Linked DNA regions of Kluyveromyces lactis. The protein of the gene in region 2 purifies or fractionates together with the protein of the main gene of each other region. This does not show direct contact. Links are inferred from orthologs where the notes say so. Each region holds a gene or a part of one and is shown on either strand. Other genes may lie near its edges.

Region 1 (2,702 bases), on a different chromosome or scaffold from region 2:
AAAATTATGCTTGGCCAACCTTGACAATGCAATCAAGACGTGGGAGACTGCTAAGAAACAATCGAGAAGAACCAGTAACCCAGTGAGTAAAGTAAGCGATCTTTTTGTCAGCATTCTGGCCTGCGAGGTTACTGGGAAAGACGGATCATCCGAAGCCGATTCTAACACTGTTTTGATCGACGCATCGAGACAAAACAACTTCCATTTCATTGTCATCTTGAAAGACATAAGTAATGATATCTTGCTAATAGTGAGATCCCAAGGTTACCCCTCCAAATGGGCCAAATGGTTACAATCCGATGCACTAAGCGATGAGGAATCCACAGAAAAAATCGACCCAAGTGATTGGGTGAAACCATGGATATCCGAAGGTCTTGATCTAACTTTCGGTATTCTTGCCCAACAATACGTCATAAGCAGAATGAATTTGTGAAGTGTCTTTTACATACATATTTTAAAACCCTAATTACTGTTATTAATCATCATTATTATACTCCCATATCAGTTTTTTGGTAACCATTTCTCTTTCAACGATTGAACCGTCGTGCCTAATACAGCTTTTTCCCAGTCAACCCATAAGCTCGTCTGTTTATTCCAAGACCCATTCTCGACACATTTCTGCAATGGTGACCCAAATAGTGGATCCTCAGCAGCTTTTTTCAAAAGAGATTCCGTCTTAGGAATCTGTTCCATTAAGTCGGGCTTATCAATTTTTGCCAAATATTCCAATTGATCTCTAGTAGGGAATTTCTGGCATATTTCAATGTTGATTTTGTTCTTGTGGTTCGATTTTAATGCCGTTAGAAGATTTTGAGCATGAGATGATTCTAATTTGTGTGTGAATAATGTCACTACGCGAGGTTGAAATTGGATGGTTTTAAACATAGACATGATGAATTGAAGATACTGATTGTCAATGTCCCCCTCTATAAAAAATTCGAACTTTTACTCAGTTAAATACTTCAGTCTAATTAAGTCAGGTCACCCCAGTAATTGTTGCTGCCTTTATATACGCAATACTAAATTAAGACATCTTTGAAATATGTACATTTTGGAAATCATACTATTATCCCTCAAATACGCATGGCAGGGAAACAAAATCCCGGAAAATCCAGCAATCAATACTATGATACGGAGTCATGACGTCCCTACTTAGTATCCGGATTGGCAGCACCTTTCACCTACTTGGAAACAGAATCATCAAGCTAACCATTTGTGCCTTGTCTGTGCAATGACTATGCGGTCCTGTAGCAAAGGTAGTCATCCTATAGTTACCCTGCCTCAACGTTACCATACATTTTTTTTCTTCAATTCGTTTCAGCTAGCTCAACATCAAATGGAATTGCAATGAACTGCCAAAAAGATGAATCGTTGGACGCTTTAACGGCCTATTTATCCTTCAAGTGATACCCAGAACTATCACAATCAGTGTTGAATTTTACAATTCATTATAATCTTTTTTTTTTTTTTCACTTGCTCATTGAAAGAATCAGAGTCTCAAATTACAAATGTCCTCTTCGTCTCCGAATAGCGACAGAGCAAGTTCAGTAGGAGTTACTGAACCAGTGGCTTCCGATGTGGAAGAAAATCGTCCTAAGTCCAAGCTATCAGAAGGTGAAGCAGATTTATATTTGGACCAATACAATTTCACAACTACAGCTGCCATTGTTGGCTCAGTAGACCGCAAGATATTCGTACTATTGCGCGATGGCCGTATGTTCTTCGGTGTACTAAGGACGTTTGATCAATATGCCAACTTAATACTACAGCATACGGTGGAAAGAATATATATCGAGGGTGAGAATAAATATGGTGAATGTGACAGAGGAGTTTTCATGATAAGAGGTGAAAACGTTGTTATGTTGGGCGAAGTAGACATCGATAAGGAGGATGCACCATTGGAATCGATGGAACGTGTTCCATTTGAGGAAGCTGAAAGCTATAAGGAGAAAATGGACGAGGTGAAATACAAGGAGAACACTGCTAAGGGTAAGAGACTAGCGCAGCTTGGTTTAACTACCGATTTCAATAAAGGTGATTTGTATTAAGTATAAGATTATAATTAGTTTAAAAGACAAGCAAAAAAAAATCGTAAAACATACAATTCGAAACTAAACTAAACTAAACTAAATCATTACACAAACTGGAGATCGTGTGGTTTTGAAGGGTATTTATCTTTTGATACTCAATTATATATCACATAGAGATATATATATTCACTTATATATGGTTCGGTACTGTACTATTCATAATAAGTAAAATGCATAGATAGCGCGGCATGGCATTCCAAAAAAAAAAAAAAAAAAATTAATGGGACAATAATCCCCATTTGACATAAAATAGAACCATTATAACGGTCAAAATTAATTCTTAACTAACGGATCAACTCATTTGCCAGCGAGCGTCGTTAATTCTTGATCGTATGTCTTTTGAAATTTGTTATAATTACTGATTTCCAACCTCCCCAGTTGTGATATTAATGATTCGTCCGGCGTATCATTAATTCTTAGCGATCGACTCACTTGCCACATATGTGACAAGGGTGTTTGTGTTGAACAGAGTCCGTAACATCCATGCAACTGGATAGACCAATCCACCAGTGACGAGATTTCCTTTGGTGTCACGGCTTTCACCATCCCAATTTCTTCTCTTGCCGCTTTTACACCTTCGTAATCACATTTGATTGCCGCGTTGAAACAAAG
Region 2 (4,356 bases):
ACATTAACCCTTGTAATATTATTTAATTAATGGATTGATACGCGTTCATGTTCAATTGATGTCCAAACTCTTGAGTATGTTTAACGTTGATTCTTCATCAATGGTTTGATACTTTGAGCCCACTCCATTGTACTTCCTTAAGCCATTGGATAAACTTCCATCAAAATTGACCGCGTCTTTATCGTATTGGTTAACAGGATGCGTAGCACTTAAGCGCGATTGTGTATCAAAAGACTGTCCATTCCAATATTGTTGGTTCAATAACGAAGACAAGTCCGTGTTTGGAATAAAAGATTTTTCAACGACGTTTTGGCCACCGAATGAGACCAAACTTTGAGTGTCAAAGTCTCTCTGACCAGCATATTGTGTATAACTACTGTTGTTGGATGGGGCTTTCCTGGGTGCCCTAGAAGGTTTCGTCAATTGGACTGTGCAGAGTTGTAAATTATCCAAAAACCCTTCAACAAGACAACCCTTTTCTCTGAAATGAAGTAGTAGATGACTCCATAAGCTATTGCGAGATAGTGCCCTTGGGTTACCCAATATTATTAGACCGTATTTAGCACGAGTCAACGCAACATTTAGACGACGTGGGTCACTCAAGAAACCAATGGTGTTTCTCTCATTGGCACGGACACAAGACAAAATAATATAGTCTTTTTCTCTACCTTGGAAAGCATCTACTGATGCCACTTCAACGCCCATGTACAATGATTTTTCCATCGAACCATTCATTTGCATATATTGTACAACATATGCTCTCTGCCCCTCATAAGGAGTTATAACACCAATCTGTTCTGGTTTGACACCATCTTTGAATAGTCTTGTAATGATCTTTTCACAGTTCATGGCTTCAATTCTGTTCAAGTAGGAAGTACCATTGCCTGAGATCTCTTCACGACCATAGTTAGCCCAAAACATCATAGGGATAGTATGAATTGGCCATGGAAAGGTAGATCTTGCAATAGTACGTTGCTCGATGGTGACACCATTCTGTAAACTACCTTCGTAGAACATGTTGCTTGGGAATTCGCTTAATTGTGGATTCATTCTATATTGGACTTCCAATCTAATAGGAATGTGACCCAAGGAAATTAATCTTTCAAACAAAGATTGTTTCAAACCAGCGTCACCAGCTTTTCTATCTAAAATGACAGGACCAAGTTGCTGATGATCACCAACTAGAACAACTTGTTTGGCTCCCTTGACGATAGGGATCAAACATTCAGGTTCTGACGCTTGAGTACTTTCATCGATCAATACTGTGCGGAACTTATAGTCCAATCTTTTATCACCAGCGCCGACGCAAGTACAGCAAATAACATCAGCTTTTTGAATGATGGTAGCTTCTGATTTTCTCACTAACTTCACAAATTTCGTGGTATCCGATGAGGAAAGTTCCCCTGTTTTTTCCTTAAGATTGAGAAGTTTTTTGAGTTTACCTTCTGCAGACCTGCTGACCAAGTTATGCAATGCTAACTCGGACACTGAGCTCTCCACATCTTCTCTACTTTTAGCAGTTAATCGTACTACCTTTAAACCCATACTGTGCAACTTGGCAGCAAGATGATCCACTGCAACGTTAGATGGTGCACAAACTAAAACACGCTGTTTGTGGATTTTAGACAAATGATAAACAATGGTAGCTGAAGTGACGGTTTTACCGGTACCAGGAGGTCCCTGGATCAATGATAAAGGTCTTTGTAAAACATGCTTCACAGCATTACTTTGAGATTGGTTTAACTCGGTGAAGTGAGGCACAAAAATGCTTTTGGGTAATTCTACATCAAATTCCACATCTGGAACCTCTTGGCCCAATATCTTATAATACAAGAACCCTGATAATGATTTTTTGGTGACAGCAAATTTTCTTAACGCTTCTTGCATTCTAATATAAGAAGTTCCCCTCCATACAAAAACTGCTGTAAATCCTGTAGTACAATTAGTTGGTGGAGTTTTTTGACTTGGTTTCAATTCAAGAGTAAATTCATCTTTGAAACTGTTTGGTAGCTGGATGATGAAACCTTTTCCTGTCCAATCTGCATGTTGTGGACCACTATACTTTAAAATCATCTCATCACCAACGGCAACTTTTAATTCGTTAGATTCGAATGTGGATAATGCAAAAGTAGCTAGATGTCTGTTGTTCAATGCTAAATCCCATGTGACAGAGATGTGTTCTAAGGCCTGTGATTCCTTTAATTGCTTATCATAATCTGCTTCTAACTGAATCAAAGGACCAAATGATCTTTGGTACTGATAAGCATCAGTGTATCTCATCAAAGTCGGAGGAATATCTTCATCTTGTTCGACCATATCAATATCCATAATTGTAGCGTTTTTGTTTGATTTCCATCTTGCTTCCAATTTCGTAATTTGAGATGGAGTAATCATCCTGGCCTTCAACTGATCTTCTTCACTTGGTTCTTCTGCCACCCAAGATAGCATCTTCCTTTCTTCAATAAGTGGTTGCCAGTTATCTGTATCCCAATTAACATTCTTCATTTTAGCACAAGGCAATCTGCACAACAAGACCACAACAGCCTCACTCTTAGCCGGAACAAAACCAAGAACAAACACATTAGTACGTCCACAATTGTAGCATTCCAAAGTAGTATCTCCTAGCTCTGAGTCTGGATGTAATGAAACTGAAGAATGATGGGATAAAACTAAATGGTTCACAATATGGGAACTATTAGTACCATTTTTCGAATTACAAAACCATTTGCTGCAAATGTTACACTTGACAACACATGAAGTATTATCAATACCACAATATGCACAAGCATGTTCCGCAATAGGATCTGTATTAGCAGCAGTGCCGTGGAACTCAGAGTATTCCTCGTCCAGCATCTCATCAGTATCGTAGAAAAAGTTTTTGTCGTCATCGTCTCTCAAAGAAACAGATTCGTTTGAGTCCGAATCTGAATCAAACGGTTCATTTGGCAAACGCATCGTCATAAGGAAACTTGATTCTAATTGTACTGAGATAATAAAGGCACCAGTCGTGTACAATCTACTTCAAAGAATAGCTTTGAACAGAATAGATCGAACTAACCAAAAAAAAAAGTTCGCAAGAAATGAGTCAGAGTCACAAATCAAAATATGTTACTCAGCACATTGATAGATGCTCAATTTACAGAACTTCTTGAAAATACAGATAAAGTGATATAGGAAATAATAACTGTTGAAGCATATTATGATTAAATACTTTTATGTATGGAAGTTGATGCATTTTCTGATGAGATGTGAGATGAGATGTGAAGTACACAAACTGAAAAAAAAAAAAAAGAATCAGCAAATGCATGCAAAAGTCGGGTAATTAAATAGTGATTAGGTGACAGTCTATGTCCTATTACGTTTATATATTTGATGCATGAGGGTATACTGATGATTATGATTGGGGTAACTGAGGGTGGTTGAAGACTGGGGTTGTGAATTTTATTATGAGAAACTCTCTGATAAAGCCTGTTCAATGAAAGACTTTCTTCTTTTTCTTGCGTCCAAAAATGGTGGTGGATGTGAAGATGAATATTGGTTAATTGATTGAGTTCCTGACGGTATTTCTGGTATGGTTCTATTAGTGTAGGTGTTTGGATTGGCAATTGTGCTATTTGAACTTTGAGGTGAAGTTCGTAATGACATTTTTGCCAACGATGAAGAGACGGTGTCTTCTGTTCCATGAGTTGAAGCTTCGTCTGACAATTGTTTTGACTTATCAAAGAAGGATTCCGTCGCTGAATCCAATTCAGAACTTACGTATCTCTCCAAGCTGTATAAGTGTGTTGGAATGGCATTTGTAGATAAGCTAATGGACGATCTTGATCCATTGGAAGATTTAGGATCTATTGCGCCCTCGTCAGTGATATTAGTTGGGGATCCAAAAGAGAGACTGTTATTATTTATGGTATTGTTTGTATCTAGACATCCAACAGAAGAAGCAATGCTCTGTCTTGTGGGTTGTTTAGACAATGGAATGACTATACTGTTTGTCCTTGAGACTGGGTTTGAATCTAGCGAGAAACTGTATCCATTGTAAGAAGCGGACGATTTCGATCTAGGTTTCCTTAGCCCGTGGCAGTTCGAACATACCACACAACCACACTTTGATGGTGATCCAATTTTCCCCTTCAAAGAAGTATCTCCACGCATCATATTCGAACGGAATGGGTTCCCTCCAAGCTCTACCTCCTGAAACTCTTCTTCATTATCACTGGGAATCTTATAGTACAGCGTTTCCTCCTGCAATGGATTCAATTCATACAGTGAATCTTCTGCACGACTGTGTATCTCGAGTGGTTCTTGATCATCATTGTAAAAAGTAGAGCAAAAGGGGTCCTGCACTGATCTCTCAAA
Region 3 (3,233 bases), on a different chromosome or scaffold from region 2:
CACTTTCAAGGTTCAACACGAAATTATTACTGGCTTAAGATACGTGCAATACACCAAAAAGGCAGGCATTGCAGTTGATAAGATTGATGACCACTTGGGTTCGTATGCTCCAAATACCACAAAGAACCCATTTTATGAGGTGGAATTGCCTGAATCTGAAGCGCCAAGTGGTTTCCTTGTTCGCGGGAATTATTCTGCAGTCTCAAAGTTCATAGATGATGATAAGAACAACCATTTGACTTTGAATTGGGGTGTTGAAATTGTGAAAAGGTGATGATTTATGATACATACTCTAAGCTGTGACAATATTTTCGCCATTGATCAGACATTGATTGTGGATGAATCTTTAGTGACGAAGTAATGTTCATGTCCAGGCTAGTCATTGCCCGGGCCCATCTTCTGAACAACGTAGCTGGCGTTCTCTAAAAGCTGAAACATTTCAATATGAACAAGTAAAAACCATTATGTTTGTAATCGCATTATATACGTCTATGATTAGATCTAACTTTTATTTGCTTCAGCAACGAAAATGACGTGCTTCATTTATGGGTTTTCCATTCTTTTTGTATCCATTAGAGTCATTTTTACCACTGTTCTTTTTCTCATAAGGTTGAAATACTGGTGGTGGCATGGCATACATTGGTTGTCCTGGTATCATCATTCGATTGTTAGTCATTGGAGCTCCTATAGGGTAGTACATATACTCCATTGGCGCTACCATCTGATATCCGAACGGAATAGAATCTGGTCTCATTGGTGCCATCGGAGGTGGCACTCCATAATATGGATGCATAACAGGCTGTCTATTCAATGGCTTGTTATACCTGTTATTGTGTGAGTTCTGTCTCTTGTTGTTATGCTGGTATTGTGTTTTCTTCATATATTTCATTTCGTTTTGATGGTTTAGATTAAATCTGGAAGTCTCGAACTGATGAGGCTGAGGAGAATCATCTGCTTCCCCATTCGATCCACTTGCAGAATTCAGTGTTACAGGTGTCGCAGGTGGGGTGGAAACTGGGGTGAGGGACGATGGAGAACCAGAGAAGATCTTCTCTTTTTCTTCATTATACTGTTGTTCTTTTATTCTTCTCTGTTCCTCTAAATCTATGACCGTCGAATCTTTATTTGACCCTGCACCCTTTTCTTCTTCCAAAGTGTTTTCTATTGATGTTGAAGTAGTTGCTTCGTGGCTTAAATCCCTCGATTGTCCGCTATCTGTTTCCACCTCCCGTTTAAGTATCTTCACTTTTTTCTTGATAGACATACGAAGAGCTGCTGCTGCAGGTGAAACCCCTTCAGCACTTTTATCATCAGTAACCTGTGCATTGTCTCTGGTTGTTTGATTATCCGATACGTGTTCAGGAGCTGACACTGGCGTATGATGCTGACTACTCTGTCTTGGCTTTTGTCTTATTGTCTTGTGTATCAATTGTTGCTGATTATTAGCTGCTGCCATCGAAGCAAGGGCGTAATACTCTGGTGGAAACTGGTACATGACCTGTGGTTCCAATTCCTGGAGAAGGATCAGATTTGCATTTGGTTCATAGTCATTCTGTTTATAGACGATCACACATTTATCATTGTCCTTCGAAACTGTATGTTGCAAACCATGGTATTCTGCTACTTGATGCGACAGTAATCTATAATAAGAGTTCATTGGTTTCAATTGATAAGTATAAGCTGAGGATTCAACAAAATCTAGAACGCTATTCTCCAGATCAATCAAAAACACTCGATCCTGAGGTTTTTGAAACAACGCTATCAGCAATGCCGGCGTAACTTTAAGCTCTTCCATGTTACAATCCTCTTTCCAAAAAGTCGTTATATGGTACACTATCGGTAGAGTCACTCAGTGGTGATAATTCAATTACGTTGTTGGCAGAATACCCCTCGTTAACTTCAACCAATGGCTGTATATCTTGTAGATCTTTAATCTATTTTGTTCCGAAATACCAATACCTAATATTAGCTTCTTGAAAGTAAGGTAGGAACGAAGGGAAAAAAATTTGGCCAGAGTATGAGACAAATAGAGGAAGGGATTTAGGATAAACCTACAAAAAAAGGTGTTGAAGATTTCTATATGTGATGTTACTCAGACTAGTAATGATGCAGTCAATTCTTGAAATAATGGCGTTCAGTAATTTTTACTGAATTGTACTCCGTTGTATCTATGTAAGAAGTGTGAAAGATGAACCTTGTTTCTGTTAGATATGATCTATGGATAAGGGAAAACAAACTTGATATTTTTGATATGGCAACGAATGAATCAAAATTTAGTTGAAATAGTTGTGTATTTAAATAATACTGCTCGTCATGTGCCAATGGTGAAGTATGCATGCGCGTGTTGCAATTGCGAATCATAAAAGAAGGAACAGATGTTAACTGACACTGCGTAAGAAAGGTGCATTATTCAATTGAAACAGAGAGGATACCCCGTCTTTTGGATGGAGGCAATGTAGTGATTAAGTCGACGTGGGATCGATTCCTTCACAATCCAGTACCACGCAGCGTTTCTGGTGAAGAAGGGTGCATTCCTGTCGGAACCAATTGAGACAGATTTATTCGGACCCCAGAAATTTAATTTTCGGGGGCCGAAAAATACGCTGATACAAGCGGTTTACTAAGACGGAGAAATTACTGATATAAAGTTATCTAAATATACACTTATCAATTAATCAATATGCTATTAACGAAAATACTCATAGGGAATCTAGTGGAGTAGACGGCGAAAATCAAGTCTATAAGACCAAATTTTATAAATTTGGTATAACGCTCGTCTATTACACGAAAAGCGTGCTGTTAGGTATAGTGAAAGTATTCATCAGGTCCTAGGGTTTCATTTTGATTCAGTTTGATTTATCAGAATGACGTTAATGAGAGACATTTTTATGGTGACCCTTGACCCGAATGATTCCAAAGGGTGCACTTATGTTGGAGATATAGAAGATGTATCTGACCTTAGTGCAGACTGTGTTGATCCCATTGTTTTGTATCAATTGACCGAAAATGAGTCGTTACAAGAACAGCCGTTGAAATATTTAAACTCATGTTTCCAGCGTTGTCAGCAATCCAAACGTATATCGAAAAAGAATCTGGATGAACAGCAAACTATTACCTTACAAGAGATTGATAGGCTTATCGTGGGTTATGCTTTAGTTTGTTTCCAGATCGAAGAATTTGCAATTAAGGGCTCTTTCCAACAGTATATTTCTGATATATTACAAGATTTGGAT

What was found.
Region 1: the proteins of NAM7 (region 2) and LSM1 purify together in Saccharomyces cerevisiae (affinity purification with mass spectrometry; 3 studies listed by BioGRID, with this or other methods). This does not show direct contact. The link is inferred for Kluyveromyces lactis from reciprocal best matches to the Saccharomyces cerevisiae genes NAM7 and LSM1.
Region 3: the proteins of NAM7 (region 2) and RBS1 purify together in Saccharomyces cerevisiae (affinity purification with mass spectrometry; 3 studies listed by BioGRID, with this or other methods). This does not show direct contact. The link is inferred for Kluyveromyces lactis from reciprocal best matches to the Saccharomyces cerevisiae genes NAM7 and RBS1.

What each region holds. Positions count from the first base shown.
Region 1 is NC_006041.1:1,347,849-1,350,550, forward strand, and holds LSM1 (Lsm1p), read left to right. Parts: upstream 1-1,508; coding exon 1,509-2,048; downstream 2,049-2,702. Other genes in the region: DUF5427 domain-containing protein MTC1, read left to right, coding at 1-433; FMP46 (putative redox protein), read right to left, coding at 502-891; KLLA0_E15181g (uncharacterized protein), read right to left, coding at 2,388-2,702. UniProt on the Saccharomyces cerevisiae protein: Component of the cytoplasmic LSM1-LSM7 complex which is involved in mRNA degradation by activating the decapping step.
Region 2 is NC_006038.1:566,513-570,868, reverse strand, and holds NAM7 (ATP-dependent RNA helicase NAM7), read right to left. Parts: upstream 2,962-4,356; coding exon 52-2,961; downstream 1-51. Other genes in the region: MBR1 (Mbr1p), read right to left, coding at 3,445-4,356. UniProt on the Saccharomyces cerevisiae protein: RNA-dependent helicase required for nonsense-mediated decay (NMD) of aberrant mRNAs containing premature stop codons and modulates the expression level of normal mRNAs. Also capable of unwinding double-stranded DNA and translocating on single-stranded DNA.
Region 3 is NC_006042.1:520,886-524,118, reverse strand, and holds RBS1 (Rbs1p), read right to left. Parts: upstream 1,796-3,233; coding exon 518-1,795; downstream 1-517. Other genes in the region: RDI1 (Rdi1p), read left to right, coding at 1-274; ubiquitin-ubiquitin ligase UFD2, read left to right, coding at 2,865-3,233.